Linked DNA regions of Daphnia pulex. The protein of the gene in region 2 binds, or shares a complex with, the protein of the main gene of each other region. Links are inferred from orthologs where the notes say so. Each region holds a gene or a part of one and is shown on either strand. Other genes may lie near its edges.

Evidence for each region.
Region 1: GATOR complex protein Iml1-like (region 2) and GATOR complex protein WDR24-like share a complex: the UniProt entries of both Drosophila melanogaster proteins name them as parts of the GATOR complex. The link is inferred for Daphnia pulex from reciprocal best matches to the Drosophila melanogaster genes Iml1 and Wdr24.

The regions. Positions count from the first base shown.
Region 1 is NC_060022.1:5,701,308-5,705,262, forward strand, and holds the start of GATOR complex protein WDR24-like, read right to left. Parts: upstream 2,801-3,955; 5' UTR 2,605-2,800; coding exon 2,514-2,604; intron 2,447-2,513; coding exon 2,330-2,446; intron 2,266-2,329; coding exon 2,150-2,265; intron 2,085-2,149; coding exon 1,978-2,084; intron 1,906-1,977; coding exon 1,689-1,905; intron 1,599-1,688; coding exon 1,350-1,598; intron 1,279-1,349; coding exon 1,133-1,278; intron 1,064-1,132; coding exon 499-1,063; intron 438-498; coding exon 1-437. Other genes in the region: tyrosine-protein phosphatase non-receptor type 4-like, read right to left, coding at 3,303-3,353, 3,421-3,651, 3,727-3,901. UniProt on the Drosophila melanogaster protein: An essential component of the GATOR subcomplex GATOR2 which functions as an activator of the amino acid-sensing branch of the mTORC1 signaling pathway.
Region 2 is NC_060021.1:10,273,209-10,277,416, reverse strand, and holds the start of GATOR complex protein Iml1-like, read right to left. Parts: upstream 2,801-4,208; 5' UTR 2,679-2,800; coding exon 2,636-2,678; intron 2,563-2,635; coding exon 2,425-2,562; intron 2,335-2,424; coding exon 2,102-2,334; intron 2,034-2,101; coding exon 1,809-2,033; intron 1,747-1,808; coding exon 1,492-1,746; intron 1,428-1,491; coding exon 1,232-1,427; intron 1,148-1,231; coding exon 914-1,147; intron 839-913; coding exon 717-838; intron 655-716; coding exon 513-654; intron 443-512; coding exon 35-442; intron 1-34. Other genes in the region: uncharacterized protein LOC124194533, read right to left, coding at 3,118-3,509, 3,647-3,926, 4,052-4,186. UniProt on the Drosophila melanogaster protein: An essential component of the GATOR subcomplex GATOR1 which functions as an inhibitor of the amino acid-sensing branch of the TORC1 signaling pathway.

The DNA.
Region 1 (3,955 bases), on a different chromosome or scaffold from region 2:
GCTGTTTGGACATCACCGTCTTCGGCCATGTGATAAACCATCTCTACAGCGTTAGAAACGCCACTCCAGCAGGTCGTGCCGAGACTACTGGACGATCCAGGTAAACACAAAAGAGCCGACGTCGTGTCTTCTACCTCTACCATCTGAGCTTCAATACGAGTTCCAGCAAAGCAGCGACTGGGAAAGTGTTCCGGAGGTGGAGACCGATCTTTGATTTCGTGACGAAGCTGAAAGGCTTCACTAGGTAAAATCCAATCCATCTGATTCGACTGTTGCTGTTGTTGCTGCTGCTGCTGGTCAGTATCTCCACTAATTTTCCTGCCTTGCACAGAGTCTGAAGTTCCATTAAAGTCATTTAACACATCGGCTTCGGCATCCCCGAAGAAAAAATCGCTCGTATTAAAGTGAGAACCGCTCGCAATATGTGACAGCATGACCTAATCAAATGATAGAATTTATTTTTTAAATGCAACGACTGTCACCCATATATCCTTTTACCTGAGAATCAATGTCTTCCACCTCGGATTCGGCTTCTTCGCTGACACCTCCAGAAGTGTCCGAGACTCCGCGTTCGTTACTGTTGGACGTTGGGGCGCTATTACTGTTATTAGATCCACTTCCATTTACCAAAGTCTCAGACTGTTGTGTTGCCTGCTGATTGGGAAATGAGACATTTCCGGACTGGTGTCTCGTGCTGGGTCGAGTTGAAGCGTCTTTGATACCGGAATCACCTGGCTCTGATTCTTCTTTGCTGACGGTTGTCGGTCGATTGGAACCGACTGACGTCACCGCGGAAGTTGAAGTCAATTCCAAACCGGAAAAGCCAAAAAGAAGTTTGACAACTCGCCATATCGTGGCGATTTGAATCCGACCAGCGTTTGATGCCACGACTGCATTATGATCACAAATTTCACCCAAAGATTTTCCCGTCGTTGTCTGCAGCCAGTAATGTCGTGCGCAATCCCGAAACACTTGCGCAGGTGTGGGTTTCTCGTTCTCAAAAACGTAAATAGAACACCGGACGGCCGGATAGTCTTCAGACTCAGACTTAGATTTTCTGGGTCTAACAAAACAGTTTAACAAATTAAATAGTCTATTTTAATGGAAAATATAATTTAAAAAAAAAACTCACAGTGTCAGAATTTTACTCTTTTTGGAGTTCTTATCAACTGCTGCCAATGTCAAACTTCCTTTAGAATTATAAGTGACACAAATGGGATTGGCCTTTTCCATTGGCCTTTCAGCATCAGCAATAACGTGTTGGATGAGATAAGAGTCCTAAGTAAATTTTGATTAAACAAATCAGATAAGATTTTAAAAAATTAATTCAACATTTTCATATAACAGACTTTGCTAGTTGAAAGTAGAACGTCCGGAGAACCTCTCCAAGCAATACCAGTTGTGATGTCTTTATGATCGTTAAAAGAAGCGTGCGGGATATAAGGCCGACGAACGTCCCACACGTGGATCACACTGTCGATAACAAGTGCACAGCTGGCGATATGATGCATCCTTTGAGGGCGCCATTTAATACGGCCCACTGAAGCCATTGTTGTTACCGTGTATTCCAACACTGGTCGGTAACCCAAATCCCAAACCTATTAATGGTATAATGCTGAATCATTCGTTCGTCATCTGGCTGAGGAAAAAAATTAAAATATAAACGCGTAAAATTTCCAAAAACAGACCTTGACGGCTTTGTCTCTACCGGCTGTGGCGAGCCACGATTTGTTTTCAGGATGCCAATCGCAAGCGAAAACGGGTCCACTGTGTGCTGTAAACTGTTTCTCAGATCGGTCTTGGCGCCGGAGATCCCACAACTGAACGGTTCCGTTCTCTGACACAGCGGCGAAACTAAAACACTGGTATGGATTAAACTGCACATCTCGTACACTCTCTGCGTTGCTAAAATTTCGAGAATGCATACAATGTTAGTTAAATAGATCCAAGTTTTAATAACATTTCAGTTTGTTTTACCTGACAAATGTCATGACTGCAGCTTTCATTCTGATATCAAAATACTTCATAGTCCCATCCTGACTTCCTGAAAGTAACATGTTCTGTTCTGAGCCATGAAAAGTCACCTACATTCTCCCCCAATAAAAGCATTTTCAAACAAAATGAGGCAACTAAAAATTTAAGATAATACCTTGTTAACTGTCCTTTTATGATCATTATAAACTGTTTCCTGTTTGAGCTTAATAGATTTCTGAATGTTCCATAAGACAACAGCTCCATTAGTGGCAGCAGTGGCCAGCCATTGCTCTACACAAATTTAGTTAAATAGACATGTTAAATCATGTAACTTAAAATCAGTGAAGAAGTTTACCATCAACTGGATTCCAAGAGGCATCATTGCAAGAAAAATTTAGATTGGAATTCTTTCCTGTTCGGATATTGTCTCTTTCAACAAAACCTGTGTCTTTGATTTCACAAACCTTGAAAACTAAAATTTAAAATATGAAAATGTGAGCAGAACTAAATTTTCGATGTTTTAATATTATTAGCATTACCATTTCTGCCGGTAACAACAACTTTATTGCAGTCTCGATTGAGGGCAAGAGTATTAATCGGGCCCTCTTGCATCAATGTCATGTGATGCATCGCAATGATCACAACAGCCCTAGGTTTTCCCTGGGCAGCTTAAATAAGTATCAACGGATTTTGAAACTAAAGGAAATGATAAAGTTGGGGACAATACTCGATAGGACAAAGGGTATAGAATTCAAAGGAAATGATTCACACCAAAACATCAACAAAGACAATAATCTCACAGTCGTCTGCTGATTCACACAGTTGCAACATTTTACCATAACCAAAGCAACGAATTTTCCCTTGCGACGTTGCGAATTGCAAATTTGCGATTCCAATTAAAAGCACAAAAGCAGAATGAGAAAAGTTTTTTGTGTTGAAAAGTCGGCAAACATAGAATAAAAAAACGAAATGTATTTTGTTCGATTGGGAACACAAAATGGTGGAAGATCTAGCACTTGTAGCTATAAAATGTGAGTTTCTTTTTCAAATAATCCATTGGCAAATATGCGATGGAAGCAAAATGAGTTAGTTAATTTTTTGGTAGCAGTGAACAAAGCTATTTGGGTTAGAATGTATAAAAATGAAAATATCTTTGGATTGAGTTGCCTCGTGCTGAGATTCAGCCAAATCCATCAATTGATGAATAGATGGTAGATGCCGCTCTTCTTGACTAGTGCCTTCTTTTTTTTAAACTTAGTTTCCCAGTCATTTTGGGATTCCTATAGACTGAATAATAATTTCCCGGTAGACACGTAATTCAACCTTATTCAACCTTGCAAACTCTCGATGATGCACTCGCAAACGTACTGGAACTGAATCTAGAAATAATAATTTTTATAACAACAAAATATGATAGTAAGCTTTAAACGGGAAGACATTATTTACTGAAGTTTGCAGCATCATAGGTCTCTGATCCCGCATCATCTTTATCAAATGGATAGGATTGATGGGGCAATCGGTTTCCATGAGCCGTAAAACAGAATCTAGCAGGATAAACGCTCCCGTACGTCCGATTCCGGCCGAACAGTGTACCAACACCACGTTCTCTTCTTCATTATTGCCAAGTTTCTGAATGTGACGGACGTATTCTAGAAATTGAGAAGCTAAAACGGGAGCCTAATAAAATAATTGATGTTATTAATAGTTATTAAATTATTAATAGTATAAATTGATAGTTGATGAATTAAATACCCCGTGATCAGGCCATTCCAGATACTGACAATGCGAGATGGCTCGCATTTCTCCCGTCTGCTCATCGGCTACAAGGAATTCACGGTGAATAAACGGACCCAAATGGTCCAGCTTTGCTTGGCAATTAATTACCAATGATCCCACTCGAACGATTTCATCCACTTCTGGCCAATAACTTTGAAAAGAAAACTTCTTTTAGAAACAAGTTATAATTATAATGATAGAGAAT
Region 2 (4,208 bases):
AGCATTCATTTAATTCAAAGCAACACAAATATACCTTTAGGGAAAATGTGTGTCCATCTTCTTCGATTGGATGTTAACTTAATTGTTACTCTGCTCGGATCGAATGGATTAATTAAAGCACGTCCAGTTTTGATTTGACGTGTACTGGGATCGAAAGTAACAGTAGACGGGTTGGCGCCTATCGTCACTGTGTTGCTTCCGAGAGCGCTTGGTGATCCAGCGCTGCCTACTACAGCTCTAAGAGTGTTGGACCTGCGATCTTCTAATCGCTCCTCACCCCCACTAGGTCTTCGAACACGTGGATGAGGTGCAGTTGCACCACATGACGCAATAAAACTGTCGTCGACAGCTGGTCTTTTTGGAATGGTAACTGAGGGTGATTTTGTGAGTGAACAGCTGAGCATAGTGGGCGCACTGATCAATGAGCTGCTGAGTCCATCACCTATTAAATAAAAAATTTGCACCTATGTTTTTACAGAATTTAACATGGAAATTAGAAAAATTTCATATACCAGGGTGACCCGTGGTAAAAGAAATGTCCATATCATGAAGACGAGATCTTCTAGCGTTTCCTCGGCTCCGATCAAACCGATTCACCTCTGAGGATATAGCGGTGGTTTTGCGATGACGAGTTTCTCGCATCAAAGTTTGAACCTGCACATAACAGAACATTTGTATCCGATTATTTTCCCAAGAGACATAACGTATTCAAATACCTTGCTAGTGCGGGTTACTGGAAGCGCAAACACTTTTGCGTCATAGGCATCATAGTCAAAGACAGAGTTCGGTAAACTACTTTCAACTTTAATGGAACTGCTAGTTTTAGACGAGAGTAATCCTAAATACAAACGATAAAGTTTTATTAAAGTAAAATTTCGACTCTTATTCAATAATAGTGTTTGAATTACTGTACCTGCAGTTTTGCTCTTGTGAAGAGTTGTCTCTTTATTTAAAATGGGAGCCATCTTAATGCGGGGAAGAAATGTAGAATAACCAATCCGCTTGCTGGAAGAATAGAAGCTGAGATTGATCCAATGAGGCATACTAAAGTCATTTGAGGCAGCGCTATGTCTTTTATTGTGAAATTGCAATAAGGGAACTGCATGTAAAGGCTGTTCACCAACACAAACCAGATCACTCCCCACACCTGTTTGTAACACATATTTAATTGAAACCATGCTCGATAAGAAAGTATTTAGTAAAAAAAATAAAAACAGTTGAAATTTTTTACCGTTGTCTATGATCCTTTGCTTCGTAATGTTTGTCAACTCTCGATCTACTTCAAAGACGCCAACTCCAGGTGTGATGACTACGGAAAGCTGGCCAGTGCGGTCAAAGCTTCTATCCAAGTAGTGCTTCTCAAAAACATTTAGAGACATGTTAAGCACCTCGAGAAAGTTTCCTTGGGCTGCACATGAATTAACACCCTATTTACAAACAAGGAAAATGTTAGAACTCTTGTCATGATTCACAAATAATGAAGAAAAATACTTTAGGTATGTTCATGTCAGGGTGGTTTTGTTGATGGTAACCCAACACAGAGTTCTGCCAGTTATGAAAGAGTAATTTGAGTTGCGGCAGCACACACGCCCAGTCTTCCATTCGTTCGCTTTGAACAGCTACACGGTAAAAGTCTTCATAGAACATACCACGGTAATCTTGCTGCAAGCACGCTCGCACAGTTTCTGGGAAGTATTCCAAAGATTCTGTCTCGTAAAATATTCGAGAAAATAAAACAATTGTGACCTGGAAATGAGATTAGAGGTTTAATGAATTTAATGCTAAAGATTTATCATAACCGATGCCACCTCATGATTAGATCCATGGCGTTTCCACTTGGCGAATAATTCCGATAAGAAGCCGTTAACAGCTTTTTCAAAATACAGATCACCGTATATGTCAAAATCCCACATTTCTGAGCTCATTTGTAAGAAGAGATACACCTGACTTGTTGATGAACGAAATACAATTTTTGTATCCTCTGTAATCACACCACATGCCACTCTTTCTCCTTGTCCCCACATTTCATGAACCTTATTTGAAAAACAAACAATTTACAAATAAACAAATTTAATACTCATTACTGATTACACTTCCTCACCTGACATCGAACTGACTTGTTGCAAAACTCCAATTTCTTCCCAATGTACAAACAAGAGCCAATAAGGCAATTTTTCAACCTCCACATGTCACTACGTCCTAGATACTGATCCTTGAAGGTTAACTCTACAGAATCTAGAGCAGCTGAGGCTGGATCCATCACAGTCACATGGACTCCAAAAAATATTTGAAGTTGGAACATACTTACTATTGACTGTTCAATGCTGATTGTGTCTAAATGTTAACACATTTTTATAATTAAGAGATGAACCAGTAGCATTCAAACATAGTATTCATTAAAAATCACAAACATAATAGGCCTACCTTTTGTTTGCATTTCTTCTTTTAAAGAATGTACTTGAAGTAGAACTCTGGAGCCAACAACATCAGGGTGGTATATTTCTACTACATCTCTCACTTTCACGTGTGGGAAATCTTTTGAGCTCAAAATTATTTCTTCCTCTACAAAACATCACGAGAATATAAGTAGGCTAAGCATCATCATTCGCAGAATAAAGACATACAAATATCTCACCACTAAAATGTTTCTGATGAGCAATCAGTTTAAAAGTTTTCATTTTGAAGCTCTTGACAGGATATTCGAGCCTCTTCTATCGTCACGAGATGAAAGACTAGACTACTGCAGCGCAAATATATGCAGCTGATGTTGCCGTGATTGCCCTGTTCAGCCGTCTGCTGATCTGTTGATCAACAATCGTTAAGGTCATCTAGCGACAAAAATTGTAGCTACGTCAAAAACGAAATTTGAAAGCGGTAATTTTCAGGAATATGAATTAAGAATTAACTCTGAACTAAAAAAGAAGCTGTAGAAAATATGGTAAATAATGTTAGAAAATAAAACACAACAACTGACGGCTAAATCTATGTGTGTATGGTTAAATTGTAAATTCAATCAAATATTATTACAGCAACATAATTTACCAGCAATAAGTTACTTGTTCTTTAAACACGCCTGTTAACAAATAAATCGTTAGCCATGACAACAACTATCCTGAATCAATAATTGTGAGAGAATGATTTGAAACTGTTACTGCAAGATTGCTTATAGGAATAAAGTTGCCATAAGAAGTAAGGATTGTACATCACTTGAGGCTCAACATAAGGTTCAATGTGTGCCACTGGAGTTGACGGAGGTGAATAGGCTCTTCCATCAGGTGGAGGTGTGAGGACAGGAGGGCTCCAGTAATCTGAATCTCGCACGCACTTCGGGGTTGTCGGGCGTGCAACGTGGACGTTGGATTCGGCAAGCCGACGAGGTTCTGTTGTTTGTTTGCGTTTGTTCGTTAGCTGAACGGGTGATGATTGTTGTACCGATGAGGGTGTTCGGCTCATTATTGAACTTTGCTTCGATACAGTTTTTTTGGATGATCTGATGACGTCTTCATTGCCTTATCAAATAATTAAAAATATTAATAATTTCAAAAAATTCATGGGCGAATCATGGAGAACGGGAAAATTTTTTAAATTAATATCATAATATTACTAAAATCAACACAAAATAAAGGCAAAAGTTTTAAATAATTACTTGTTAGTAGCAACTGTTTGAGAACGGATCCGTTATGATTCGTACTTTCAACCTCTATTGGAAGCGATAATGATGTGTCGCGAATAGGCGTGGAAATCGGACGTGATCGCATTTTACTTGGGTAGAGGGTTTTTTCGACAAAGGACTGACTTTCAAGGAGGAATGCTATGGTAGTAGACGAGACGCTGTTCGAATTGTGATGGTGATTTTCAAGTTCCGATAGCAACTGGAAAGAAGTACCACGACTGCAGATTCTAACACTACAGAAACGAACAGCGCACTAGTAAAAAAAAGTAAAAAAAAAATAAAATAAAATAAAATAAAATAATATAGAAATAAAATAGTTTAATATTGAAAATAAATAAAATCGTGAATAATAACAACTTATGAAGAAAAACGAACAACCTTCCAGTATTCGATGTCGCAGTCGTTTTCTTTTTTCGTACAGGAATGATGAAATAACAGAAAATTTTGATCCTGCCTTTGCAAAATGTAGCGGCTCTGGTCAGGTAGTTTTATCACTTGCGTGAATGACACCATGCCGAACAAAATGCTAAGTTAA